2 linked regions of the Notamacropus eugenii genome follow. The protein of the gene in region 1 purifies or fractionates together with the protein of each later gene. This does not show direct contact. Links are inferred from orthologs where the notes say so. Each region holds a gene or a part of one and is shown on either strand. Other genes may lie near its edges. The genes, in order: DDX17 and DROSHA.

Evidence for each region.
Region 2: the proteins of DDX17 (region 1) and DROSHA purify together in Homo sapiens (co-immunoprecipitation; 3 studies listed by IntAct, with this or other methods). This does not show direct contact. The link is inferred for Notamacropus eugenii from reciprocal best matches to the Homo sapiens genes DDX17 and DROSHA.

Annotation. Positions count from the first base shown.
Region 1 is NC_092874.1:295,921,828-295,937,160, reverse strand, and holds the start of DDX17 (probable ATP-dependent RNA helicase DDX17), read left to right. Parts: upstream 1-7,024; 5' UTR 7,025-7,296; coding exon 7,297-7,346; intron 7,347-11,113; coding exon 11,114-11,264; intron 11,265-12,937; coding exon 12,938-13,037; intron 13,038-14,781; coding exon 14,782-14,915; intron 14,916-15,333. UniProt on the Homo sapiens protein: As an RNA helicase, unwinds RNA and alters RNA structures through ATP binding and hydrolysis.
Region 2 is NC_092875.1:390,996,790-391,011,912, forward strand, and holds the start of DROSHA (ribonuclease 3), read right to left. Parts: upstream 6,056-15,123; 5' UTR 5,891-6,055; intron 5,544-5,890; exon of another isoform or gene 5,485-5,543; intron 1-5,484. Other genes in the region: C4H5orf22 (UPF0489 protein C5orf22 homolog), read left to right, coding at 6,419-6,499, 8,631-8,776, 11,545-11,694, 11,796-11,840, 14,495-14,948. UniProt on the Homo sapiens protein: Ribonuclease III double-stranded (ds) RNA-specific endoribonuclease that is involved in the initial step of microRNA (miRNA) biogenesis.

The sequences.
Region 1 (15,333 bases):
AGTTAGAAGACAAAAGCCTGACCTTTCTACACATTTCTCTAGCATGTAGGTGAAAGGTGAGTTTACAAGGGCAAGGAGTACACTCATGTGGTGTGAGAGAGAATAAACCTATGCCAGCTTGATGAAATCTTAAAAATAGAATTAAAATCCATTTTAAATTTTATACTGAATTTAAAGGATCTGGGAATCAATACTTTCCCCATTCATGGCTCCCAACTATATACTGGGTGTTCCCAAAGTATTTGTGTAGATTTAAGTAATTAAAGTTTTTAGTACATCCTGCACATGCAGTTCTTCTACCATGAGTCTCATGACACAAAACACCAGGATCTCTGAGTTGGAAGGGGCCTCAGAGACCAGCTAGTCTAGCCTGACCAGAAATTCCCTCTATAACATATGCCACAATCTGTCAACCTGCCAGACTTCCATTGGGAGGAACCTACTACCTCCACTGACTGTCCATTCCACTTTGGGACAACTTTAATTGTCAAGAAGAACAAATGTACAGGCTTAGAAGGAACTTGTCCAGTAGGTCTCCAAGGCCTCCTGATTTGCAGGTTCCCTCTCTCTCTCTCTCTCTCTCTCTCTCTCTCTCTCTCTCTCTCTCTCTCCCTCCCTCCCTCCCCCCGCCCCCCCTCCGCCCCATCAGGCCACACTGCTTTTCACACCCACTAAAAGTTTCAGGGCTTTTTCAGATTACTATCTAACTATAACTTTCCTATTCTGTACTGATAAAATAGATTGTTCAAACCCAGATCTAACACTTTACATTTCTTCCTTCTGAATCTCATCTTATTACAGTCACCACAACATTCTAGCCTACAGAGAGCTTTCTGGATTCCATTCCATTTCATTTGCAAATATGGTATGAGGAGGCCATGTGTAATATTCTTTGCACACCTTCAAGTGCTCTTGCACTTTTCTATGTGCTAATATTATTATTTTATTATTTATCCATGACATTGATTTAAAAAACCCCAAGATTAGCATGAAGGTCCCAAGCAGATGTCCAGGACAGGGATGGTTTTTGTCTTTTTTTTGTACCCCAGCTCTCAGCCTGGTGCTTGGCACATAGTGGGCTCTTAATGTTTGTTGGTTTGTCTTGCCTTCTGGGGCCATCTTCCCTGGATGGTACCAGAACAAACCCCCCAGTCTTCCTCTTGTTCTCTGCTGCTGTAGCCCTTCCTTTTCTTCTCCAGTGTCCATCCTTTCCCATCCCTTATACATTGCCATGTAAACTTTTAGGTGAGAACACCCTTGGGTGCTTGGGCAAGTCCCCTGTCATTCCATTTAGATATTACTCAACAGGCTTGGCATTAGTCTAAGTGTAAATCAGCCTCTTCCAGGCCACCTCTTTCCTCCTTCTCCTTGCCTCATTCCAGTTGGCTCATTTCTACCAGCCCTTTGGCCTACTAATCTTAGTGAGTTCTTAGCTTCAGACTACTTCTCCAAGTTCCCTGAAACCTGATTTGTGGGGTTTCCTGGCTTTTGCCATGGCAGCTCCCAAATGAATCCCCTTCTTCTGGTTATACAGGCAGGGGAAAGAATGTTGGCTTTTGAGTCAGAGGACCAGGGTGGGAATCCCAGCTTGGCCACTTATTATTACTTGTGTGAGTTCAGTCAGATAACCTCTTTGGACCTGGGTTTCCTCATCTGTAAAATGAGAGTCTTGGACAAGGTGACCTCTTGGGTAAATGCAGATGATCATAGAAATGTTTACATAGCCAAGCACTTTGCATATGTTATCTGAACTTCACAGTAACCTCATAGAAGAGGAAACTGAGTCTGAGAAGCACAGGGGCACATAGTGAGTCTGAGGCAAGATTCAAACTCAGGACGTTGTGACTTCAAGGCCAGTACCCTAGAATCCTAAGAACCAGTGCAACTCCCAAGCTTCCCTCTGATCATTTCCCCTTTGTTGCTTCCTTTACCTTTTGAAAAAGTTCTATTGATGCCACGTTTTTTACACAAATTATTTTGATCTAATATATATCAAACCTTCCCTTGTAACAAAGAAAAAAACAGTAAAGCCTAGTCATCAAATGGCCATGTCTATGCCCATAGCCTTTCTACCCCCATCTCTCTAGCTAGAGGAGAGAAGATATTTCATCATCTCCTCTGTAGAACCAAGACTGATCATTACAAGTAATTTACCCCTGTAATCTATTACAACTAGCTATCTGTAATCTTTTTTTTTTAATTGAGGCTGAAAAAGGTTAAGTGATTTACCAGGGTCACACAGCTACTAAGTATCTGAGGCTGGACTTGAATTTGTATCCTTCTGACTCCAGGGTCACTGCTCTATCCACTGTGCTACCTAGCTGCCCCTGCTTCTATAATCTTGATCAGTCTCTCCTGAGATTTCCAAAATTCTGAACAGAATCTTTTATAGGTTAGCAAGATTACCAGCCCTCCTCTCACCTTACTGTTCCTTAGGCTGCTACATATCTACCCCCTGAACCTCCAAATCTCTGCTTCTTTTCAGTCTTGGTAGAAGGGAAAGAGAACTAAGGGACTGGGTCCAATTTGGTCACTCACTAGCCAGGTGACTTTGGACAAGTCACTGCTTACTTCTCTGGACCTCAGTTTCATCACTGGTAAAATGAGAAGGTTGGAGCAGAAAGGTCTCTATGGGCTCCTTCCTGCTCTGTCAAGTCCATGGCATCAGTTTGATTGTTCAGTTCCTTTGGCCTGAACCAGAAAAGACATGCACAAAGATCATATGGGAAAAGTTTTTTTTTCTAGCTACAGTTAATTTTAAAAATATTGAGCACCTACCTTGAGTAAAGTCCCATGGTGGGTGATGAGTCAGCAACAATGTAAAACTGACATCTTATAAAAGTTTTAGGCTTGTGGGATGTGTCTTGAGAAATGTTGAGATGGTTGGTAGCATGGATGGTCAGTTAGTGTGGTGAGATTATATTTAAACAGGGAGAGGGATGATAAGCAGAAGAAGTCAACAAGGAAGGCATAAGACCTTCCCAGGAGGGCCAGGGATCCAGTCTTATTTAAAATGTGAATTTCCTTTAATCCAGCAAATATTCGTTATGCTCATATGTGAAGTGAGAGGAACCATGGCTTGGTGCTCAGAGTGCCAGCCTTAGAGTCAAGAAGTCCTATATTCAAAGCCTGCTTCCAACACATCTTGGTGAGACACAACTCCTAGGCTACCCTAGAAGACTGTAAACTACAAAGGGTTCTCCAGCTATACTATCAGAGGAAGTTTCTGAGGGATGAAATTGCAGATCCCTTCTCTCCTCCTCACCCCACCACGAAATGTTCTAGGTGCTGGGTTAGTCCTGGGGATTCAAAATAAAGTATTCCTGGCTCTCATCCTACCCAGAAAAGTAAATAAATGCAATTGGAGTGAGGAAAAAGGACCAATCATGTCATAGGAACTAGATCTAGAGCTGTAAGAGACATCAGACCTAGTTTTACAGAGTAGGAAACTGAGGCCCAGAGAGGTCATCACTTGGGTAGTGGAATTTTAACCCAGCTCCTCTGAATCTGTAGCCAGTGGTCTTTTCACTGTGCCTTGCTTCTTCCTGAGGTGATCAGGAAAGGTTTCCCATAAGTAGTGGCAGTAGAATTAAGCCTTGAAGAAACTAGGGTTTCAGAGAAACATAGAAGTAAGGAGAAAGCCTTCCAAATAAGCCAGATAGCCTGAGCAAAGGTACAGTGCTCTCTGTCTTAGAAAGAAATGGTATTCCCCAGGAGATCAATGGTCAGAGGAGATGACCAGGCAGAGTGTTGGGTGGCTTTTTTTTTTTTTTGGTAATTAAGTCATTTTATTTTTTTTCAAATTACATGTAAAGACAATTTTTTACAAGATTTTGAGTTCCAAATTTTTCTCCTTCCTTCCCTCCTCTCTGATATAGGTTATACATATGCAGTCACGTAAAACATATTTCCCCATTAGTCATGTTGTGAAAGAAAAAACAGAACAAAAGGGAAAAACCATGAAAAAAACAAAGAAACTGAAAATAGTATACATTCAGACTGTCAGTTCTTTCTCTGGATGTAGACAGCATTTTTCTGTCATGAGTCCTTGTAAATGTCTTAGATCACTGTGTCACTGAGGAAATCACCACTAAGTCAATCGTGGTTGATTATTGCACAATGTTGCTGTTACCGTGTACACTGTTACGGTTTTGCTCACTTCACTCAGGATCAGACCATGTAAATAAATCTTTCCAGGTTTTCCTGAAATCTAGACCAGGCAGTTTTCAAAAGAAGAAATTCAAGGTATCAACAGCCAGATGGAAAAATGCTTCAAATCACATGCAAGTTGAAACAGCTGTAGATTCTAGCTCAGACTGGCAAAGATGGCCTCAAAAAGGAAAATGACAATTTTGGGAGGGCCAGGTACACCAGTGGACTGTTGATAGGAGCTGTGAATTGCTCCAGCTATTCTTAAAAGCAGCTTGGAATTATACCCCCAAAATCACTTATGTGTGTGTCTCTTGAACTAGTCATATATCTTGCAAGAGGTCCAAGACAGAGGAGAAGGCCCCATATGTACACAATTTTTTATTAGCCAGTACTTTTTATTGTCAGAAAGACTGTAAACAAAGTGAGTGCCCATCAATTGGGAAAATGCTGAACAGATTGTGGTACATGAATGTAATGGGATGTAATGTACTATAAGAAATGAGAAAAGGGACAGATTGAGAGAAATTTGGGATGATGATGCAGAGAGGAGCCAAAACAATTTACACTACAGCCACACTGTAATGACAAATAACTGGGGAAGGACTTCAGAATGCTGCTCCATCCAAACTCCTGGAAGACGGAGGATGAAGTCTGTTTCCCATGTCTGGGAAGAGGTTAGATGGAGGAGGATCCAGGAGACATATACCTTCGGATGCGGCCAGGGAGTGATTTTGCTTTGCATAAATCAACTATGCTTTTTTATAATAAGGGAGGCCTTTTTTTGGGTGTGGGGGGGGGGTGCTGAAAATAAATGAGGAAGGAGTGATACTAATGTCCAAAAAAGAAAAAGAAAAGTGTCAGTGAAATATTTTAAAATACACAGAAGGGGAATCAGACAAGCAGGCCAGTGTTGAAACTGCCATATTTAACTAAACGCATACTTTAAAAAGCCAAGCTGTCCATAATAGAGCTTTGTGGTTTCCTACACAATCTTTTTTTCTCCACAAATAGAAATGTTTGTGTTTTCCCTGATGTTTGCTAAGCTTAGGATTAAAAATAAATTATTTTAAAAAAGCAATTAAGGACAGTGACCCCCAGGAACTGGAATTACAATTGGAATTAGCTGAATGGAGTTAAATAGGGAGGTCTAGAAGACATTGAGTGATTGATGCTGGCCCTTAAAAAGTGCCTGGTGAATTCATTAAGGAGAAAAGATTAAAGTCTTGACGGAATATTATCGTGGGAAGACAGCATGAGTCCGGGCTGGGGAAGGTATTGTCTCATGCAGGAAGGAGCCCAAAGCGACATAGGGGAAGAAGGCTGTGGGACTGGAGGGGGAGGGGTAGAGCTCCCCACACAAGTAGTAAGAGAAGCCCTGGGAGCTGAAGGGCTGAGATCCCGATACCTCATGGGTCTGTCCTGGGGATCAGATGAGGCAGAGGATGCCAGTGCTTCGCACATCCAGGCCAAGTCCTAGTGTTATCCAAAGGGAACTAGCCAGGAATCATCTGAGATGGTGAACATTATGCCAAATCTAAGTTCTCCATTTTTAGATGAGGGAATTGAGTCCTAGAGAAGTGACTTGGCCAAGGTCACCGGCTCATTTCTGGCAGAGGCCTCCTGCCTTGGACCTCACTCTCCATCAGGGATGGACTGGGGCCAGCAGGTCCTGCGCAGCTCGCTTTCCAGCCTGCCCACCTCCTTCCCAGCGTCTGCTAGCCTAAGGACTGACACTTTGTAGCAATCTTGGTGCGCCGTCAGCGCGGAGCCCTGGGCTTAGAGTCTGGAAGACCTGAGTTCAAATCCGACCCCAGACGCCAGGTAGCCGTGTGACCCTGGGCAAGTCACCTACCCTGTTTCCTCCTCTTCAAAATGAATTGAAGGAAACGACCAACCACTCCAAAGGCGTCCCTGAAAGTGGGGTCCAACTGGAGGGAGAATGAGCCTGCGGCCCGAGCCGGGGAGGTCCGGGCTCAGATCCTGCCGTGGGTCTCGAGGCCAGTCACTTTCCCTCGGTTTCTTCTGGGGTAAAAAGAGGGAAGTCACGAAGCATTTATGAAGCCCCTACTGGTAACCAAGCTCTTGGTTCGCTAAAGACACCAAACCTCCCCCCCCTTCCCCCGCCTGCCGTCTAAGGAGGGGCGCACCAGGGAACCCAATCCAGTGCCAGTTCAGGGACAGGCTTGGACCGGAGAACCGGCTTTCAGCGGCCAGCTCGTTGTGCATTTATTAAGCGCCTGCAGTGTGCCTGCTAGCCCGAGCGCTAGATAATTACTGGGCACCTCGAAAAGAGGCGGGGGGTGGGGGGGAGGTCCGGTGCGCAGGCGCACCGCGAGTTAGGGGGAGGGGCGGGCCCTGCGGACAGCGGCGGGGGGAAGGGCGGGGACGGCGGCGCTCCAAAGCCCGCAACATGGAGGACGTTATTGTCGTCGCGGCGACGCCGCCGCAGTGGAGGCCGGAACCCGGTATTCTCCACCTCCGCTACACTACGTAGAGGGCGCAGTGCCGCGGTCGCGGGCGGGCGGCGGGCTGCGGACGCCAGGAATGTTACGTAGCGACCCGGCCGCTCCCCGCCCCTCCCCCTCTCCCCCGCCCCTCCCCCGCCCCAGCTTACGCCACGTCGTCGCCCCGGCCGCGCGCCAGCTCTACGCGCGCTGCGTAGCTCGGGGGCGCCCTGGCGGGCGGCGGGTGGCGGCCGCCTGCGCAGTCGGCGTGGCGCGCGTTCGGGAATGGCGCCGGGGCCCTCTGCTGGGGGCGCGCGGGGCGGGGGGAGGGGCGCGCTATCCGGAGCGGCTTACGTGCCGCCTGGGCCGTGCGTAGCGCTGGAGACGGCGCGGCGGCCGCCATTTTGTGGAGCCGCGCCGCTGAGGGAGGAAGGAGCCGCCGCAGCCGCCGCCGCCGCCGCAGCGCGCCCGCCTTCTCCCAGCCCCGCGCCCGTCTCCGACGCGACCGCAGGCGACGGTGGCGACGCCGACGACGGCAGACGTCGCCGAGGAGCGAGCGCTTCCGAACCCCGGGCCCGCCTCGGCCTCGTCCGCCGCCGCCTCCGCCGGGCCCCTCCGCGCGGCCTGCGCCCCCGCCGCCGCCTCGCTGCTCCTCAGGCCCCCGCCCGGCCGCGCCCCGCTGCCCGACCCCGGCGCCACCATGCGAGGAGGCGGCTTCGGAGACCGCGACCGGGACCGGGACCGCGGAGGGTGAGGCGGGGAAACCGAGGCAGGGGGAGGGGGCGGGCCGACTGGGCTGGACCCCGAGGCGCGGAGGGGGGGGGGTCACCATGGAGGCCGCGGGCACCCCCGGAGGAGGAGACTGAGGCAGGACCGGCGCGGGAAACGGCCCTTATTTATTCAGGGGGCGGCCGGGGCGACTTGGCCCCGGGTCCAGATGGGGAAACCGAGGCGCGGAGAGGAACCTAGGCCTTGGAGCTGGGAGGGTGTGGACCTTGTTCGGAGCCTTGTAGAGGCGGGGAAAGGAGGCGAGAACCCTGCCGGAGGTGGCGGAGGCTGCCCCCTCCTCCCCCCGGCCCCGGGGAGCGCTTTCCCGTCCGCAGAGGGCCCGCAGAAATACCGCAGGAGAGGAAGGTCGGGGAGGGCCCAGCCCGCGGCGCTCCTCTCCCTCCGCTCCCAATCCTGTTAGGTGGGGGGAGGGGCCAGGAACCAGGCCCGGAAAAGTTCCCCGTGGAGCTGAGCAGGACCTGGCCCCGAGGCTCGAGTGCCAAGATCCTCACGATCTCGGGCTCCAAGGGGCCGTTGGTGGTGAAGGGAAGAAAGGAATCCCCCATCAGATACAGAAATAGGATTTTTTAAAAACCCTTTTAAAACAAAGATTACAGAAAAAAACTACTGTGCTCCAGAGGATGGTGGGGAAATAAAGAGGGATATTTGGAATCAAATTGAGGAGGAAATGGAAGGTCCGTAGGGGCCAGGAATATTGTGGTTTTAGGTTTAACACCTGGGGGGCACTTAATGCTTAAAGAAAGACTAGCATTTTCCCTTGTTGCCTCTGTTTGTTGCCTTAGCTTCTTGTGGCATCTCCAGCTAAGGGTGTCTAGTATCTAGCTTTTTGGGTTCAGAGTTCTTTATGTGTTAAAGTCGTTTGGCAGGTTAATAATCCTTTAATTTGTATAGTGCTGCATTTCTCTTGATCCTTAGAGGGGATCTTGGAAGCCAACAGCTTCCAGCCAGGTCAAAGGACTTTCCCTAGATCACATGACTCATTGACTGGCCCTGGCCTGGAAGGTAGCCAGGTATACTGATTGCCCACTCTTACTCTTGACTTTTCTCTTCTGATGGAGATCTAGTGGGCATTAAGTAAAACATTTGTTCATTGCATTGAGGATTCCACCAGTGCAGAGTAATGTCGATTTTCTATCTTAAGAAGATTCAAAGAAACATGGTGCTGCCATTTTGGAATATGCACTCCTACTTGTAGACTCTTTAATTGTAGCATTTTAACTGAAGAAGGTGCTTTGGGGGCCCATTTAAGAGAATACAGAAGGTATTTAGCCAGTTGCTGCCTCTTTGACAGGTCTTAAATCAGGTATGAAGGGTAATGGTCTTGGTTTTTTTTAAAAGACTCAAGGCCCATTCTCCTACTGGATCCTTAATATGGTCAGTTGAGCTTTCTCATTGTAAGTTCAGATTTTGGGAAGGTGAATTTTAAATTTGAGTTATTATACAAACTACTTAATTCTAAGCTTTCAAAATGTTAAATGGTGGTATAAAATCTTTTGGGAGTGGGGTCTGGAGAAATTTAAACTAAAAACCAATAGATCAGGTCTGCAGCATATTGAAATATATAGTAATAGGATCATGTCTGATTTTGCCTCTCAATGTCACTTTAGCTTGTTGAAGAGCCAAATGGTTTGAATTTGCCTATTCTCTATACAAATACCAGATACATATATTTCATGATAATGTACCTTAAGGTGTAACTATCAGGAGAAGATAGCAGCTTCTGATTCTTGTTTCATTACTTAGCGCTATTCCTGAATGCCTCCATAAATTTCAAATGACAGAACAGTTGCCTTAGTACAAATAAAGTGGTGCCATTTTAGGTGCCTGTAAAGACCTTTTCATTCCTTTCTCAATTATCCCAACTTATTTTTGCCCAGATAACTAAATTGTTAAACGATATACACAGGAATGGGTATGGTTAAGTAAGTGATGGCTGTTTTTGTGATATAGTGCAAAGTTCTGGCCAGCAGCTTCTCAGCATCCTTTTAATACGTACCAGAAATTTTATAAAATTACATAAATATTTAGCATCCAAAAATAACTGGTAAGAAGTTGGATATTACCGATCCCCCAAATTGTACTCTTGCAAAGCCCACTTGAACGGTTATTTTTTTTAAAGATGGAATAGATCATACAAATCCATATGTGGGCAACCTTTTTGGCTTAGCTTTCATTGATATAAATGTGTTTGAAAGAGTTGAATAGCCTTCAATTGATAATGGTTTCATCCAGAAACTTTCTGATATAACAGGACAGATTATAATTAGTTAATTGCTAATTAGTAAAATTTAAATCATTAAAGAGAGTTGTTGGGCTTATTAAACACATTATTATGAAAGCAAATACATAAAGTGTCAGACAATTTTTTTAAACCCCATCACCACCCATCTTTAGTGCAAAATAATAAAATAATTTTGTATTAATAGCAAGAGCAAAGGTCTGACATTCTTAAGAAAATAGGTGCATCATTTTATTTGTTAGTTTAAAAAAAAATGGAGCAGTGCTGTTAGAACTAAACCAGAAATGGATAGCTGGGAGATTTAATCCAACCCAAACGCAGGCCTTTGCTTCCTTGTTTGGAGAAGAACCTGTTAGCTTTGCCTCTGTAGTCTTGGTGGTGTAGGCTAGAGAAGATGCCGTTGAAATGACTGTTTGAGCTGGGGATTGTTTATATGAAAAGAACGAAACCTTTTTTCTCCAATGAAATCTCTTTGTTCTGTTTGCTTTAAACTGTCGAAAGTGAATACAGATATTCGGATAATAGGAACATCTTCATTCTGAAATGTGTAAACAATCACTAGACATTTTGCTTACATGACCTCATTTAATATACTGCTACAAAGTAATTTTAAAGAGCAAATTTGAATAATTTTTATTTGGAGGAATTTTTCCATTTAATATTATATACTCCAAAATAATTTTTCAAATTATCTTTTTCAGAAGTTTACTTAAAAGATTAGGAGGAAAATGCCACATTTTATGTAGATTTCCTTAACTGTTTGCTGGCCTTAATATTTTATTTTCTGATACCTGTGATCTGTATGCATAAATATCAAGCTGGCTTTATCCAGAGATGGAGGAAAAGATCCATTATTAAGCTACTTAGCTAAAATGGCTGTCTTTGCTGGTTTCATTTTTGAACTTCCTTTATGGTTCTTATTCACTGATGAAAGATTCTTTTGTGAAATAAGCCAGTGGTTTCAAAGGAACATGAGTGATTTTAATTCTTCAAAACAAGTTGGAACTGTCCTTTTTGTCCTTTCCTATTTATATTTAGAGAAGATTGTAATTGTGTATGTATATCAAGATTTTTTAATAATTTGAATTACAGGAAAAAGTTGGAGACTCAGTTGGACTTTTAAAAATAAGCCATGCATTAATTATAAAGTTGGACTTCCAGAATTGCTTCCATAGCAATAAGTTCTGAGTAGATTTGTGAAAGAAGAATCTAATTAAGCATGGCATGTTACAAGGTGGGGAAGGAAGAGCATCCTAATGTTAGACACTGGGAGAGCCGACTCCTCACTTCCTGATGTTCAGTTTTATGGAAAAGGCATTGATGAGGAAGACTTTAGACAGCCAGATTTTGTTGTCTGCAGGTGTAGCTGTCTAGAATGGCATTTGAGGTTTAATTTAATATTTTATTTAATCTTTTACTTTTAAAAAGAAAGGGTCTAGTGTACTTTTTGAAAAATGTAAATAAAGTGGACTAATTTTGATGGGCTTAGGTTTGGAGCAAGAGGAGGTGGAGGCCTACCTCCAAAGAAATTCGGTAATCCTGGGGAACGTTTGCGCAAAAAGAAATGGGATCTGAGTGAGCTGCCAAAGTTTGAGAAGAACTTTTATGTGGAACACCCTGAGGTGGCCAGGCTTACCCCGGTAAGTTTCTACAGTGGGTTTTGTAAACATGAAGAAAATTATAAAATGGCAAGCATGTACTTAAGTGGTGGTTTTTATCTTAACATGCTATGAGTCTCTTATTATTTCCATGTCTTTACCTCTGTTATAGTTGATCAGTATAAAATGCATTTTTGCAATAAAATGATTTCAGTATATTTGGAAAGTACAAATAATTCACCACTTACAGTAATATTTGAGAGCCAGGAAATGAGAACTGGTATTGTTCCTAATTGTAAATGTCTTGTCAGGTTCATCGGATTTGAAGTTGGAAGGGTCCTTAGAGAATACTTAGTACAATATTTGCTTTACTTTGTGCTAAATAAATAGTAAACTATAAAATAGAGCCATCTGGTTGCTTATTTCCATTCCAAATGTTCACTCTGTAATAATCTGAGTTTGAACTATTACAATATGATACAGAATAAAAAGCTAAATTTACCAGAGCTTCGTCAAACTATTCTTTGTGTATTTTATACTTTGATTGACAAATGGACAAAAAGGATAAAATGAAAATTTTTTTTTTTTTTTTGGCCTAATGATGACCCTAGAGCCCTGAGAAATTCCAAATCAAAGAAAAATGAACATTTACAGGAGGGTTTTCATAGTGGGAAGAACATCAGTCTAGGATTGGGGAGACTAGTTGACTTTGCCTTTGATTAGTTATCCAACTTGGAACACAATACTGTGCTTTTTTTCTTTTCCCCCCCTTTGGTCAAAAAGCATTTCTTAAGTACTTACTGTATGGCCGGCAATGAGTTAAGCAGTAGCTTCACTTGATCATTTGTAACATGGGGCTAGAATTACTACTTTACAGGGTCATTTTAAACATCAAATGGATAAGGGCTATGAGATACAGTTTTGTTACTAAGAAACAATGTAAACATAAAAATTAATTTCCATCTACAACATGAGTTGAAACATGGTTAGGATGCCTTGAAAAATGATAAGGCCTCTGGAATACCTACTTCTTTGACCATTTGTAGATAATTAAGATTTTGCTATACCTTTATTGTATCTTCCAGTTTCTTCTATATCTTTCTGTATCCTCCAGCTAAAAATCTTGTGGGAAAAACAAATGCAATCTTGAACAAGGATAGCTGTTTTATATTGTGCATCTCATTAAGTTCTGTGTATGAATAGGGAATTGCTGACCTCTTCCTATGCCTCAGTATAATCCAGTAGAATTTAATTCAGTTACTTCAAACCATAACTAAGAATAACTAGCATTTATATAGTAGCTGTTATAGGCCAGGCACTGTGCTGAGTGCTTTTATGAATGTCTCATTTGATACTTAAAACAGCTGGAGATATAGGTGTTATTATCTATATTTTACCATTGAAGAAGTTGAGATGAGCAGAAGACAAGGTCACATAATAAGAGTCTAAGGCCAGATTTGAAGTTGGGTCTTCTTGACTCCAGACTCAGCCCTTTTTCCACTGCACCACTAGCTTCCTCAAAAGATTTCCGTTAGTCTGCGCCATGCTTAAAACTGGTAGGGGAAAACAGCATTTTAAAGGCTTCCTAGTAGATACTTGGCTTTATTTTAATGAAATGGAAATTCCCATAATGGTTGCCAAGTTAAAGGAAGCTATACCATGACTGTCCCAAATAGAAACTTTGTGCCAACCTGCTTGGTTTCATCTTACTGTAGTACGAGGTTGATGAACTGCGCCGGAAGAAGGAGATCACAGTGAGAGGGGGAGATGTTTGTCCTAAGCCAGTGTTTGCCTTCCATCATGCTAACTTCCCACGTAAGTATTCGTTTTAGTCAAGTTATTCACATAAGTATTTATGACTCTTGTGTATAGAGACCACTGATACAGAAACTGATGAAGGGGGAGATTTATTTAATTGATCGAAGGATAAACAGGAAAGGTAATTGGTAATTTTGTATAGATTAAATGTAGACACCAGGTACCCTTATCTGACAACATGGGCAGCTGTCTAAACTGGAGGACCCTGCACAGATTTTGATGGGTGACCTGGGAGTATCCACACTGGTGAGGTCCTTCATTCAGGCTCATACACTAGACATTATTGATTTTTTTTTAAACAAGTTAAAGGGTATGGGGAGACTGTAGATCATAAAGTTCTTAGTGACTAGGAATTTCAAATTTGTCAAATCCTAAAGGCGCTTGAGAGAAGAGAGAGTGATAGATACCATCAGTGTTCTAAAGTGTGCTTTCCTGTGAACTTCACATGATCTTGTTAAGAGATATTCCTTTGGAACAGAGATTCTTTTTTTTTTTTTTTTTTTAATTAATTTTTTTATTTTTTTAATGTTTAACAATCACTGCCATACAATTGTGATTTTATCCCTCCCCACCCACCCCCCACTACCTCCCTCCCTCCCCACGACTGCATACAATTCTGTATAGATTCTACATATACTTTCCTATTGAGTATCTTTTCACTATAGTCATGCTATGTAGTCAGACTAAGATAAATGAAAGAATCCGTATAACAAATCAGAACATGATACACAAACAGATACACATACACAAACATGATCTGCTACATTATGTGAGTGACTTCCATATTTCTCTCTCTGAGTGTGGAAGGCATTTTGCCTTGAGGTCCACCATTGGGATTTTTTTTTTTTTCAGAAGTTCTTGGGTTATTACAAAAATCTAAGTCTACCAGAAAAAACTCTCACACACTGTGGTTGTTGCTGTGCATAAAGTTCTCCTGGTTCTGCTCCTTTCACTCAGCATCAGGTCATATAAGTCCTTCCAGGCCTCTCTGAAGTCTTCTTGTTCATCATTTCTTATGGCACAATAGTACTCCATTACATTCATATACCATAATTTATTCAGCCATTCCCCAATTGATGGACATCCCCTTGACTTCCAGTTTTTGGCAACTACATAGAGTGCTGCTATAAATATTTTTGTACATGTGGGACCCTTTCCCATTTTTATGATCTCTTGGGGATATAGTCCTAGTAGCGATATTGCTGGGTCAAAGGGTATGCACATTTTTGTAGCCCTTTGGGCATAGTTCCAAATTGCTCTCCAGAATGGTTGGATGCGCTCACAGCTCCACCAACAATGAATTAGTTGGAACAGAGATTCTTAACCAGCGCTGTGCTTTGGGCACCTAGACAACGGAGCTGTCCAGAAGAACGCATGGGCATTCTTATCTGGTCTTTAAACTTGATTTCTACCAAAAAGACAAAATTGTTGTGTCCTTTGGAGAAGCATGTCTCATTCATACTGAATGTGCTTATAGATCTTTTATTTCTTAGGTGCATGTGCATGGCAAACTTTAGACTTTATTTCCTTTCATATTGAATATGAGTTAATGGGAAGGTAGGGGGTTCAGGGGTCCAAAACAGTTGGGAGACACTGTTGTAGGATTCTGACTCTGAATTGCTACAGGAAGTGGCAAAATACGAGGTTATTCCCCAGTTGAGTTTTGTACAACTATTACTCGTGTTCATGTCCCTTTAAATGTTGAAGTGTTATGTTTGTTTTGGTTTTTTTTGTCTTGTAGAGTATGTGATGGATGTGTTAATGGATCAGAATTTCACAGAACCAACTCCAATTCAGTGCCAGGGATTTCCACTGGCCCTTAGTGGCCGTGATATGGTGGGCATTGCCCAAACTGGCTCTGGGAAGACATTGGCAGTAAGTACCAAGAACCATATCACTTTAACAGTCTGTATTCGTTTAGTCTACCTCTGTGAGTTGCTGAATTCTATGCTGGGAGACTCTGTAGTGGAGAGTTCACTGAAGTCCCCAGGAGACCCTAGTTTGAATTGCACAGTTAGCAAATTCCCAGACTTTCTGTGTCTTTTAATTTGTTTCTCCTGTAATTCCTGCTATCTATAAAACAGGAATGATAAGAATTGACTATGCCTTAGGGTTGTTGTGAGGAAAGTTTTATAAACTTTCAAATTTACATAAATGGGAGCTTTTCTTAATCCAGTTGATGAATTGCATTTTCTCCTGTGCTATCTGTGTAAATGATGTATTTAAGTGTGTTGATACTGATCCTTGGTTTACTTTGGGGACTTTGTGAAGTGGCAGAACCTTGACTATACAG
Region 2 (15,123 bases), on another chromosome or scaffold:
AGAATGAAAAAAGATGCATATGGTGTACAATTGAAAAAAAAAAAGAACAACAGCATCCTTATTTAAACAAACAAAAAAAGGATGGTTTCCTGTATGGAGGCACCAAGCTCAGCTTCTTCATATCAGCTTCTGAAAAAAAACCAAAACACTGTGCTAAACAATAATCAAGAAATCCAATGAGAAACTACATTAAGTGACATCTTTCATGTTGTAACTGTAGAAAGGCAGTAGATCAGAAAAACAGGAAATGAGGACACCAGAAAAAATCAAAGCCAGCAACTAGCTAACCAGCATAATCAGAGATATTTACAAGGCTGTGTGAAAGGCTGCAAGCATGAAAGGGGCTCTCAACAAAACAACAGGAGAATCCATGCAGATGTATCAGAGTTCAGATGTGGATACTCTGAGCCCAGGTGCTCAGAGATCTATACTATTTTGTCCCGAGATGCCATTTAGGGCTTTCCCAATGTTCTTAACCTTAAAAATTCATGGTGGAATTTGGCAGAGGTACCCAGGTGACCCAAACTGAACCTAAGGAGAGAAGACCAAAGAGCAACAACAGAAGGAACCTGTCACTTTAGAACCTATGATTGAAGAGATGAGTAAAGAACTATAATAAAGTCTAACAGGGGTGGGGGAACCTGTGGCCCTCTAGATCCTTGGGTGCAGTCTTTTGACTGAGCCCAAGTTTTATAGAACAAATCTTTTCATTAAGGAGATTTGTTCCGTGAAGTTTGGATTCAGTCAAAGGGATGCACTTGAGGACCTAGAGGATCACACGTAGCCTTCAGGCCGTAGGTTCCCCATCTCTGGAGAAATAACCAAAAATAAGTCCACACCAACAGTAAGCAGAGATTCAAAGGAAAAAAATGGGCTTTCAATAGAAACTATATGAATACCCAGAAAAAATGAAGCAAGAAATTTAAAAATAAAATAAAAGCTCAAGAGAAAATTGGACAAAGAGTTAATCTTAACTTGAGTAACAGTTGCCCCCAAAATTAAAATAGATGAAAGAGATATGAATGACTTCATGAGACAAGAAATATTACATCAAAATCATGAAGAATATTAGAAAATGTAAGGCATTGTATGTGAAAAATAACTAGTCTGAAAAACAGGTCAAGGAGAGATCATTTAAGAATCACTGCTATATCTGAAAATCAGTATAAAATATAGACAAAGCTTGGATATTTCAAAATAGCATAAATTAAAACAGTATTTCAAGAAAGTATAAATTAAAACTGCCCAGATTTATGAGAACCAGGGGACAAAATGAGGAAATACAGAATCCAACAATCATCTCCTCAAAGAAAATTCAAAAGGAAAACCTCAGGAATGTCAATCAAAATCTAGTTCTTCCAGGTTAAAGAAAAAATTTTGCAACCAACTAGAAAGAAACAGTTCAATAAAGAAACCACAAGCAGGATCACACAGGACATGGAAGCTTCTAGCATAAACCAGAGGAGATCTTGGAAAAATATTCCAAAAAGCAAAAGATAAAAGTATGCAATAGTAGCTAATATTTACATAGCACCTACTATGTGTCAGGCCCTGTGTTAACTGCTTTATAATTATCACCTCATCTGACGTTCCCAACAACTATAGGAGGCAGGTATTATTACTATTCCCATTTTATATATGAGGAAACAAGCAAACGGAGATTAAGTAACCAGGAATGCAGCTAAAAAGTGTCTGAGGCCATATTTGAACCCACGTGTTTCTCATTCCAGACCCAACACTCTACCCACTGCTTCTTCTAGCTTACAACCAAGAAAACTTAAATTTTTAAATAGCTAAATAAATCCTGCAAAGGAAAAAAAAAATATGGACTTTTAAGTGAAGAGGGCTTTCAAGCCTTTAATAGAAAGGATATGAACTCTGAAATGCAAACACAAGACTCAAGAAAAACTCAGAAAGGTAAAATTATTTGAACAATTTAAAGCTGAATGATGATTTAGTACTAACACTGAAATAAGCAAAGAAAAAGCAAGTGTCCCTTCAAAACTTTAATGTCTTCAAAAGGTACTAAGAGAAATAATAAAGAAAAACAGAATACTTGGTTCTATTCTACAAATTTTAAGAGAGAAAAGGGAGGACCAAGGGCTACACACTAGTTTATAAAGAGGGAAAAAAGAGGTAGAACTTGCTACTTTTCATAATTGGGATGCATGAGAAGAAAAGTATACAAATGGAGAAGAAAGGTTAGGGAGACTGAGCATATAACAAACCTTAATCTTATTTGAATTAAAGATATAACAGAAACAATCCTGTTCATTAACCCATGACTAAAAAATAAACCATGAGGCAAAGCACTGAACAGGGAAATGCATTTGTCACTTTTACAGAGCTGATACATCAGAGTTTGGGTTGAAGAGCTTTTCTCTGTGAATAGCAAGATTCTCACTTTGTTGTTGCTCAAAGAAGACAATGTGATGACTGCATCAAAAGTCCTGAGATACTGAGCTTCCTGGAAGAGATCTGCAATCAAAGAAGTTCGGCTTATCTATCTACCCAGGAAAAACCAAGTGAATGAAAAATGTCTATTACTCAAATTTCAACATGCTTCTAGATGAACATACCATAATGCTTCAACTGAGAGTACTATTGATGGACAATGAGTTGGGTAGAGTTGAACAGGATGTGGCAAAAGAATTGAACTGCTTTGGGGAAATTGCAAAGCTCCTTTATTTACCTCAAGATTCTGACATAAGCAAAGGGTCATTTCTTTAATACTATTGAACTGGTGCTGCTATAAGGTATCAAGACATGGAATACACCTGCCTGTGAAGAAGTAAAAATGAGCATCATACCGAGGGAAATGGAAAAGTGTATGGTGTAATAAGGTTACAACAAGAACTCTGAAGAACAGGAGTAAAAGATGTCATCAAGAAACTGTATGACCGGAAGAGAATATAAGCTATTCATGAGGAAAGAACAAGGGATGATGGGTTGCCAATGTTCCACGGATAGCCTAATGTCAAGTGAAATGAAGGCCTCCAACATCTTTATGGAAAACTTTTTAAAGGACAGATATAAGTCATACAAGGAAAAGGAAGGAATAGAGATGGTTACAGTCTATATTGCTGGAGGATACTCTTGATGAATAAGATCGTAGATCCAGTGGAATTTCTCATCTAAGAATGACTTTTCATTGAATACTCCCTCATTTCAATGTTGCATTTTCAGTACCTTTTCCTAACATTTCTCATGAATCACTACATTTGGATCTATCACATTCTATCCTGTATTTTGCCCTCATCTCTCCTATGTTTCCATCACTCTTCCCAAAGCCTAAGATTTACTACCACTATTCCCAAAAGGTCAAAATACCTGGGAAGCAAAATTTTTAAGGCTTCAAAATTTTAAGTGTGAAGGAGTCATAATTAATCCTTACTTTTCTATGCAGGAAGCTTAAATAAAATGCTTAATTTTGCATGATCAAATCCAACATCCTAATTTTACAGACAAGGAAAATGAATTCTAGAGGTCACAATATTAAATTCTTTTTTCATGTATGTCCAGAGTTTACCTCTGTACATTTTTATTACATGTTTATCTATGAGCACAGTGTTGCACAGTACATGCTTCTCTTTAACATTGTATATCATAAACTACAGACACATGCTTATCTATAAGTACAGTGTTACAGTACAGGGAACACTGAACTTGGAATCAGAAGACTTGGGCTTGCTTACTATCTCTGCCAACAATTTTATGTCATTTAGGGAAAAAAATTCATTATAGATTCAGTTTTATATATCAGTATTCCCTATATCAATCAATAAGCATTTATTGAGCACCTATGTAACAGTCAATATGCTATACTAAGTATTAAAAGATAAAAGTGAAAATCTTTGACTTTAAGTGGCATACATTCTAACCAGAGGATGTGTATAGAGACAGATAGATAAAAATATATAAAACAGATACAAGGTAAATTTGGCACGAAGGCACTAGCAGCTGAGATGAGGATAGGCATCATATATATGGTCCTTCAGTTGAACCTTGAAGAAACTTGGGATTCTTACTGAAAGGGCTGGAGATGATGAGAGAATGTATTCTGGGTACTGAGACCCAATCAACACAGAGGCACAGAACAGAATTTAAGCATTGTGTATAAAAAACACTAAGAAGGCAGGTTTGGCTGAACCACAATATATGTGAAAGGGAGTAACTTACAATAATAAGGCAGCAAGTTAAATTCTGACAAAGTTGTGAACGGCTTTATGATCCAAAGAGTCTTTATTTGATCTTTGATCTTAGGGAGTCACTGGAATTTTATTCAGTGGAGGAGTGACATGTTCTACCCTACACTTCAGGAAAATCACTTGGGCAGCTGTGTGGAGAATGGAATGATGAATGGAAGTACAAAGACACTTGAGAGACCAACTAGGAAGCTATTTCAAGTCTAACTGAGACCTCCTAAGGCCCTGACAGACAACAGGAGCTGGACAACAAGAGTTGACAACTGATGGGATACAGAGAACAAATGAGAGTGAAGAGTCAGTCAAGAATGACACCATGAGTGCAAACCTGAGTGACTGGAAGAATCATAGAACACCATAATACCAACAGCAATAGAGATGTTCAGAAAATTCATTAATTTTGGAGGAAGGTTCATCAGTCAACAAGCATTTCAGAGTCCACTGTGTGCCAGGTACTGCAGTAAGAAATAGGAATCCAAATACAAAGAAGTAATCAAATCTCTACTCTCAAGGAGCTTACATTTATTTAATGGGATGAGTTCAGTTTTCCTCACGTTGATTTGATTTTGAGGACATTATGTCTGAAATGTCAACTAGAATATTTACTAATGCAGGAATGAAGTTCAGGAGAGAAAATAAGACTGGCTATAAAGATATTGAAAACAATTATCTAAATATGAGAAATGTTTACTGTATGGAAAGAACTGCTTTTATTGCAATTTTGTATTGTGTTTTGCTTACTGCATTATCATGAAAAAGTTCAATATATAAAAATATTCTCAAAACAGTGCTCTGTATGGCAGCTTACCGATTACAAGGTATTTTAACATGCTGATTCATTTGATTGTCACCACAACCTTATTATGCCCATTTTATAGATGGGGAAACTAAGACTGAGAGATGTCCTATGCCATGTAGCTTGCCCAGCTATTTCTTTAAGAAAGGATCTGAACGCAGGTTTTCCTGACTCCAACACTTCCATCCACTACACCACTACACATCTTGGAAGTTTTTATATTTATAAATGAAACGATTAGGAAATTAAACTTCCAAAGACACAGTAAATTAATGCATGAACTGAAAATTTTAACTTAAAAAAAAGACTTGTGATCGTAAAACTATCAAGTGAGAAAATTACCTTGCCCCCACCCGCCCCAAAAGTAAGCCAGCAGAAAGACGCCTTAGGGAAGGTTAGGGCTACAGGAGGAATAATTCAGGTAAAACGCATGCAGCAACGACAAAAAGCTGACTGCTTCCAAGGACCGACTCAGCTACGTACAGAGAGGCTCATCACCAGCGGGCTGTCCGTAGGGTGATGAATTCTTTGCCCATGGCAACCTATGAATCAAAGAAGAGAAATCTGAAATCCGCCCGGCTCGCCTTCCCCACCCCCACCGCGCAGCTACTTCACGGAGGCATCCCCAGTGGGGTCACTTTGCCTCTCGCGTCCCTGCATCGCAGCGGGCTCGTCCCAGGATTCCGGAGCGGGAGAGCCTGGAGGATCACGAGGGCCGGGACATAGCTGCAGGCCCCACCGAGGCCAGGAGCCAGCCCCGACTCCTTGGCCCCAGCATCCCCCCCGCCCCGCCTCCGTGAGACGGCGGCTTCCCCTGGGACGGGGGGAACAGCGAGTCCTGGAACAGACACCCGCAAACCAGGTGGCATCCGTGGGCCTCTCTCCTTACCTGCAAGAGCTGCCAAAGCAGCTGGGTGGCGGGGAGCGAAGCCCGACACTAGCAAACGCCAGCCTCCTCTACCGCAGCAACCACCAGGGGGGAAACAGGGAGGAGCCGGAGGGCCAAGGCTGCGGCAGGAGAGCCCGCACCACTGGAACCGGAAGCCAGGGAGTAAAGGGCAGGACTGCGGCGTATGAGACAGCCCTGCGGCAAGCGCATGCGCTCCAGCTTCCCTCCGAAAGGGGTAAAGGAGCTAGTTGCGTCAGGAAGAGAAAGCCTAGAAGATCCAATCAACGCTGTGCATCCCTCAGGGGGCGGGGAGATTCAAACTAGGTTGGCCCGCCCTTCCTCCTTCCACATCCGGGTGAAAGCTAGTATTTCCGCTGATTAGTTTTCTCCTGCTTGTAGGGTTTGGAGTGTTTTGGTCCTCTAAATTTCTCCCCGTAGCTCCTCCTTCACTCCTCACATGGAACATTCGCAAGCCTGAGGTTCCATCTCGGAAGTCTGGGGACCTGGAAGTTCTGAGCGCGGATCAAAATGACCCAGTCCCCCGGCCAGCGGCCTCCGCTCAGGCTCTACCCGAAGTTACCCGTGTGGGTGGTGGAGGATCACCAGGAGGTAAGAGCTCGGCCCCGGGTGTCAGGGCTGGGCCTGGAAGAGCGCGCGCCCGACCAGGTCACTCCCCAGACTCAAACTCCGAGGGCTCCCTGTGACCCCCGGGATCACGTACAAAACGCTGGGTTTGGTGTTCCAAGCCGGCCCCCTCCTGTCTTTCCAGGCTTCTTCCACCTGACCCCCGCCTCGGGCTCATCTACCCCACGCCCCCGTGACACTGACCCCGCCGCGGGCTGCTGAGTGAACGGGAGGGACCCCCCATCTCTCGGGTTCGCGCCTTCCTCTGGACCCCAACCCCCGTTCCTGCAATGCTCCCCTTCTAACCTGGCTTTCCTTAAGCCCAATTAAAATCCCGCTTTGTACAGAAAGTCTTCCCCAATTCTCCTGATTCCAGAGCCTTCCCTCTTCCATTTATTTACTGTTTGTCCTGTATGTATGTTGTTTGTGTTATTTTTTCTTGTTACTCTTTTCCATTAGAACGTAAGCTCCGTGGTCAGCAGAATTGATCTTTTGTGTCTTTTTGTATTGTCCTCAGCTCTTAGCACAGTGCCTGGCGCATGGTGGGATTGATCTGTGGTATTAATGTTTTGAAGGACTACTCATAGGGTAATGGAGTTAGGCATGGATTAATGAATAGAGAACGTGATCAGTCAAGAATGAATTAAGCATTTATTAACGCCTGCTGTGTCCCAGGTATTGAGCTTAGAGCTTCAGATTCAAAGAAAAGCCCAACGGTCTAGGTGCTTCCAATCTAATGGGGGAGAGAGCATGCAAACCGAAGTACAAATTGTAGATGGGGTTATTACGACATTGTCCTGGGATTCATTGACTGGGTAATGCCAGTAAGTAGCCAAGTGACCTAGAGGTCAGAATTACAGTTTATTCCCTCAGAGTGAGACACTATCAGAAGCTAAGGTCCTCTTACCTAAAAATTTCCCGGTGGACTTTTGAGGCCAAATGCCTTCCACATCAAGAACTGTGGAATTGGATCGCAGAATGAAGTTGACCATCTTCTCTTGTGTTATGTTTTGTTTTGTTTTATGGTCTCTCCCATTCATGTTAATTCTTCTATGCAATATGACTAAAGTGAAAATATATTTTAAAAGAATGTATGTGTAGAACCTATATGATGCACCAAGGGACAGGGAAGGAGGGGGGGAGGGGGAAAGATATATGGCAGTGATTGTAGACAACTGAATACAAATAAAATAATTATGAAAACAAAAGAGGAGGCCCTTTTCCTCAGTCTAGTACAAAAGGAAGAAATTCTTAGCAGTCATCAAGTCAGAGGTTGATCCACAATGTTAAAGACTGAAGAAAGGTCTAAGAGAATGAGGATTGAGAATAGACAGTGGATTTTGCAACAAGGAGATCAGTAGTAACTTTGGAAAGAACAGTTTGGTTGGAGTAATAAGATCAGACGCCAGACTGCAAGGGATTAAGAAGAGAGTGAGCGGAGAGACAGTGGATGCACCTATTGTACATTTTCATTTCCAGTAGTTGAAAGAAAAAAGCCAGACTCCCTGCTCTGTTTTTGGACCTTGATCTCAGGTTGAGTATAGCAACCAGTAGGACTGTGATATTGAACTTTTAAAAACTATGATTCTTTCATTCTTTTAAAAATCTAATTCATATAATGAATTTGTTTTGGTTTTACCTATGCAGCAGATAACAGTCACCAACCTAGAACTATAAGTAATATTTTTAGGAAGCCTTGCCCTTAAGTCATCAGTCTATATATCCTAGAGAAATTAGTTAATGCAGGTTCCAGGGGGAGAGGAGGGAAGAATCAGAAAGTAAGATCTTCCATTCTAGGCACAGAATCATAGAATTCTAGAGCTAAAAAAAAAAGACCTTAGAGATCAACCATTTCAGCACCTTTATTTTATAAATGAGACTTAAGTCCTGAAGAAGTTAAGCAATCCTTCTAGATCACACTAGTAGTTGTTTCTAGAGATAGGATAGAATGACAGTGCACTGACTAGAAATAGCGATTTGGACATCATCAACAATAAATAATGCTACATCTCTCCCGTTTAAAATTTAGCTCTTTATGATGTTAAAGTTTTCTTATTTTAGGGTTTTTTTCTCAAAGCCAATATAATGTATTTGTGCTTTCATTTATCTCCTGTAGGTCTTGCCTTTTATATACCGAGCTATTGGCTCAAAACATCTTCCTGCCAATAACATAACTTTTGTTCATTTTGATTCACATCCTGACCTCCTTATTCCCGTAAATATGCCAGCAGATACTGTGTTTGACAAGGAAGCTCTCTTCGGGTAATGTATATTCAATACTAGTCAATTCTCATGTGTTTGAAACTTAGTTTTTTTAATACAGATGTTTAGTAACTAAGGAAGTAGAATTGTCTATAAGTTTAATTTGCCCTGAGTCACATATGCCCACAGCATATGTTTTTGGTTTGTTTTTTTTTTCCTTTGCTTTGAATTACAAAATTCATAGGCAAGGAGTAAAAGGTTGAGCAAATAGCTTTCTGTGCTATTTGCAGTGTACTATGTTTTGCTGAAAAGTGATTTTTTTGGTTTTAGATTTATTGTGTCTTTTATTTTTATACCCCATTTTCTCTCTGCATTTCCTCCCTATTCTCCATGAACCCTCCTTATAAAAAAAGAAGCATGTGCAAGCAAAACCAAAGATACAAGACTATATATGTGATATATGTGCCGTAGTCTACTTGTGCTTATCCCACTGCTGTCATTAAATTGAGAATTGATAACAAAACATTTGAGAGAGTGAAGAAATGTTTTGTCATCAGTTCTCAATTTAATGAGATTGAGCATTACAATTAAGCAGAGTTCCTGACTGATTCAGTGACCAATCAAAGTCCGGAGGACCAGAGTTGAACAGTGCTACCCACTTCCTGACACAAAGTTGATGGACTTAAAATGCAGGATAAGACATTTTGGTTATGCACGTTGTGGATATTTGTTTCCTTGACTACACATTTGTTACAAGGAATTTATTTTTCTCTTTTTGCTTTCTTAAGAGGGACACAGGGAGAAAAATTAAGCAAAGCAATCTTTTCAACTCCTTTTTAGTATTTTCATAATGTATATAAAATACTTTGCAAACCTTAAAGACCAAGTAAATATGAGCTGCTGTTTTAATTCCAATTATTATTTTTATTATTATTCTGTTTCTTTCATTCTGTCTTAGTCTATTATTACTCCTGTGTTTTTTCTAATTCCTCAGGTTTGTCGTTTCTCAACATCAAATTGTATGCTGTTATACTAATGTAACGTAGTTTGTTCATTTTGAGTCACTCCCCAAGAGATGCGCATCCACTTTGTTTTGAGGTTTGGGGGCACTATAACTCATATATGGCTTTTCTTCTCTTTGACCTCTTTGGAGTATATACCCTATTCTAGGTCATAGGTCATGGACAATATGAGAAGTTTTCTTATATAAATTCAGTTATGATCCTTAATTTCTGAATTAGAGAATCTCATTTGGAAGAGACCTCAAAAGCCATAACTCCTTACCTGAAAGCTAAATCTCCCTTAAAACATCCCCCAAATATGACAGAATATGTCACAACAGATTTTTAGGAAAAAGAATGAAACTATCCATCATAAATAATGTACTTTATTGCCTCGTTGCATATGAGAACTTAAATTAAATATTGATTATTGTTGCAAGTTGGAATTAAATCTATTCCATCTCATCCTCTGCCTCTTGCTGATTGTCTTCAAAGATCCTCCACAGAGAATTCATCCAGTATGCTTTGGGCCTTCTAGGTTTTTGTACATTTCTGTGGTACCAATAGAACACTAACCATCTGTTATCCTTCCCTCCTTCTATTTGTCCATTCACTTCCTTTTCTGATCATGCATTTCCTGATTATCTCTTATGTCAGTGGGATCAGACTCAAATAGAAACAGATCCCTACAGCCACATATTTACTTAGAAAACCACAATTTAGCATTATTATTTTTTTCTTTTTATTTGTTGTTGATATATAGAAATGCTGTTTATTTTCATGCATTTATTTTGTATTCTGCTACTTTATCCAAGCTACTGTATCCATTTCCTTGCTTTATAAGATTGTCCAAGGAAACCATCATGTTATCTGCAAATAGGGATTCATCTTGTCTCTTCTTCATCTATGCTTATGCCTTTAGTTTTTTTCTCTTGTTTTACTGCTAGGGCTGATGTTTGTAGGATTATGTCATAAAACAGTGGGAAAAGTGACATTCTTCTTTTACTCCTTTATTGTGAAAGCTTCTAGAGTTTCCCCATTGCAAATAATGGTAACTTTTCGTCAAACACATATATACATACAGTCATTTAGATGTGGTACTTCTCTATGTGTGTTCTGTTTCATCTACTGATAGAATCAAGTAGTTTGTGATGTTTTTGGTTTTTTTCCCAGACCTGTGATTTCATTGGTATTTTGAATTTCTGCTGAGGAAACTCTGCTTTCACACTTCTCTTCCCCACCCCTACCTGTGCATAGAGGTCTCCACTTTGTGCTTATAGCAGTAGAGAGTTGCCTCAGTGACTGAGAGATTAAGTGACTTTCCTAAGGTCATTAAACCTATTTTAGGTGGCACATGAATGTAGCTCTTCCTGACTCTGATGCCTGCCCTCTATCCCCTGGACCACATTATTGTATTTTTAAAGAGAATTGTTGATTGTTTTCCTGATGTTGAATTATGCTTGCTTCTCTGACACAACTCCAACTTCATTCAGCTGAAATTTTATTCAGTATTTTTCTGTGACTGTATATTCCTTTTTTTTAAATTTTTACAAAAGACTACGTACAATTTACCACCACCATCCTCTTTTGGTTTTTTTTGGATGGGGTATTGATCCTTAGAGAAGTACTGTAATTCTTTCATTTTCATTCCTTTCAGTAGCAATTTTCTGTAGCTTGGAATTTTAAAGTAAACCAAGCAAATGTTGATAAAAGTAAGTGTTTCTCTAACTAGTTCTAGCATATTAACTATGTAAAGAGTATTTTTAGATTTAAATGAAAGTTTTTTAATTTATAACTTAAATGTTTCTTCTTTAATTTCTTCTCTAGGGAATTGAGTATTGAGAACTGGATTATGCCTGTAGTTTATGCAGGTCATTTTTCTCATGTAATATGGCTCCATCCATCATGGGCTCAGCAAATCAAGGAGGGCAAACATTGTTTTCTAGTGGGCAAAGATACCTCCACTACAACTATCAGGTAGCACATTATCATTTCTATTGGTATGAAAAGGGTTGAATGCTTCATGTCTTTTAGTCATAGCTAAATAGGATAATGAGCTATTGCTCATGTCTTTGTAGGCTTCAGAAGCTTAGAGAGTGCCCTCCTCTCAACAACTCTGTGATGTAAGTACTAATATCTCCTTTCACAGATGAGAAAATTGAGGCTTAGATAGTTACAGTGTCTTGCCCTGAGCTAGTAATTGTCAGACCTGGTATTTGAATCCAGGTTTTGTCTTATAAATCCATCTCTCTGCCACCCAAATGCACTTGCCGCACATGCACATAGTACTTTTATATTTTGCCCTTAAATTTAAGTCGATGTTTAAATCTTTCAAATTATAATTTTGTTCTAAAATAGAACTCTGAATTCTAATCTTTTTTTCATCTCGTGAGTGACTTCATTAATTCACTTTAATTCTTTGGCAGGCAGTGTCCCTTAGACCCTTTGATTAAATAATGCAAAACGTAGTGTATGCAACGCACAATATTAGATCCTTTTTTCTTATTTTAATTTCCAGATGTTCTCTCATTTCATCTCACTGATAACTCATATTTATCTGTGCTTTTCAGTTAAAAACTAGTTTTCTCTCACACCGTGAGAGGTAGTGCAAATATTATTATCCCCATTTTACCTATGAGGAAATTGAAGCTTAGAGGGATTAATTATTGTTAGAACCCAGATCCTCTGACTCCATTTTCATCATTCTTTTCTGAAACCACTGCCAGAATTAAATGTTTCCTGTTTTCTGATTTTTATTTTAATGTGTAAATTTTGGTGAATTTTTGTTTTCAGGATTCTTCTGTACTGGGCTACCTTTCCAAATTTTAAATGAGAGTGGCACCATTGTGTTTTAAAATGTTCTGTCTTAGAACTCTTAAGAATATACTAGTCTAGTTTTCAGTTAGTATGGAAAATTTTTTTGTTATTTTAAAAAAACACAAAAAAGAATGTGTTGCTGTTTTTCCCTTTCTATTACTGCATACTATTTTGTCATTAACAATTGAGTGACCAAATAGGCTGTTTTATGTAGAATTAGGTCCTTATCTTACATATCAACTTAATATTATTTTCTTTTTTTTTTCACTTATATTTAAAAACTATTCCAGCCATTTTCATGCAGTTACTAACACCAATTGTAGCATTAGAATTTCCATCTTAGGATCACATATTTAGATCTAGAGTGGTCCTTTAAGATCATTAATTTTAAACAATTTAGAGGGCTAAAGTGCATAATAATTCACATCTACCATAGCATGTGTTACACATGACTAATTTACATTATGTACACCAGTATAACAAACTTTGCTATGTATCTTGTATTACCAGTGTAATACTTTTGGATATCAAAACACTTTTTTCTAACAAAATATATGCTGTACTGGCAGTATTTTTATATACATAATAAAAATTATTTATTTTCAAGTTGTGTATAGGACAACTTGTAAAACTAATATTGTAAAATGTGAGCCTGACCTGATAGCTAGCAGGTTAATAAAAATGAAATATGATTTTATTGCTAGAGTGCCAGTCAGGGAGACCCTGGGTTTGAATTCTGCCTCTGAACTGACAATTACTAGCTTCAGCATAATGGAAAAATCACTTAACTTTTCGAAGCCTCAGGCAGTTCACTTAATTCTTTATGTTATACACAGCTTGTGATCTGCTTTCTCCAATTGAATTATCACACTGATGAAATCACAAGCCCTTGATGTATTGGACATGATTTTCCACTCCTTTAAGCAGTTAAGCTAAATGTTCAACAGAAGCCTTGAGGGATTGGGGGAGGCTATGGGAGTAGTATTAGCTGTTCTTACAAAGTCACCAAATCTGCTAGCTAAAAGGCATCTCAGAGATTGCCTAGCCCACATTTTTCATCTTACAGGTTCTGTTCTTTGTTGATCTTGAAGACAAAATATATGTATGCGCTGCTCAGTATAGTCAGTGAAATTTGGATAAATGAAAGAAAGTGAATTTCACACAGACACAGAATGTTAGAGGTAGAAGAGAACCTGAGATTTCGTCTAATCCACAGGTTGCACAGATAGTAAGTGTCTATCCTGGGATTTGAACCCTGATCAAATTCACATTCTAACTCCTGTCTTCTTTCCACTCTACTAAGCTGCCTTTCCAAATTTTAAATGAGAATGTATTTTAAAATATTCTCTTTTAGAACACTTAATAATATGCTGGTCTAGTTTTCAGTTAGTGTAGAAATTTTATTTCCTAGTTAGACTGTGAAGGATGCTTTTATGTATGGTTTCTTATCAAGTAATTCAAGGATTTTTATCCATTTATGTTCTTTTTTAATTTGATGAACTATGCTATAGGAAAAAGATTCTGGTCATTAAAGGACCTAACTTAAAGTCCCTTCAAAGAGAAAAGTAAATAAAAGGTAATGTTTTACTTGACTAAGAGTTGTTCTAGGGAAGCATTTGGTTATGCTGATTAGTTGATGCTTGTCTTGTTTTTTAAAAACTTAAGAATATGCTGATACTTCAAAGGTAAGACACCTACCACTCATGTTCATGTGATTCAGTAAGTTTTCTTTCCATGTTAAGTATTATAAAGGTAAATTTTAAAATTCCATTTTCAGTTTTTCAAAACTTGAAAACCCTGGATTTTCACAAAAAGATATATCTTTACAAGTTATGAAATTTTCTTCTCCAAATATTGCTTTTCTATTATGTTTTTAGATGTCTCCTATTCCTACCATGTACACTGAAATTTTAACATTTTCCCATTTTTCACTTTTGGAAATTGTTTTCCTGTGATTTAGGGTTACAAGTACAGATCATTACTTCTTAAGTGATGGTCTTTATGTCTCTGAAGACCAGCTCGAGAACCCAAAGCCTTTAGAGTTGGATGTAATTCTGGTAAATCCTTCCCAGCTGGTCAGCAGTCAAGAGGAAAATGGAGCAATGCCTTTGGCTAAGAGACTGAAGCTAGATGCAGAAGAGTCACAAAGCACTACATTGACAAACTCTTCCTCTTCAGAAGGACTTTGTCCAACCCCAGAAGCAGAAGGGATGGAAAAGGATATGGGATCACAGTTGGCTCCCCAAACTTGCATAGCACCAGCAGTTTCAAGCTGTTCTGAAACTCAGGATTGCCAAACTAAAGCCAGTGCCACAGAGATTCTCCAGATTGTAAAGAAAGGAGATGCTTTTGTTTTAGATGTTGACTTAGATTTTTTTTCAGTCAAGAATCCCTTCAAAGAAATGTTTTCTCAGGTGGGTGTGGGTGACTAAAGACATACAGACTATAGGGTGGGAAATAGGTTTACATTTTTCAGAGTGTCTTTCTCATAATCTAAAGATGTCTTCTTAGGTTCATGTTTCTTTGTCCATTACTAAACCGACCCAAGGAGAAACTAACTACCTAGAAGCATGCTATTATTAGGCTTTG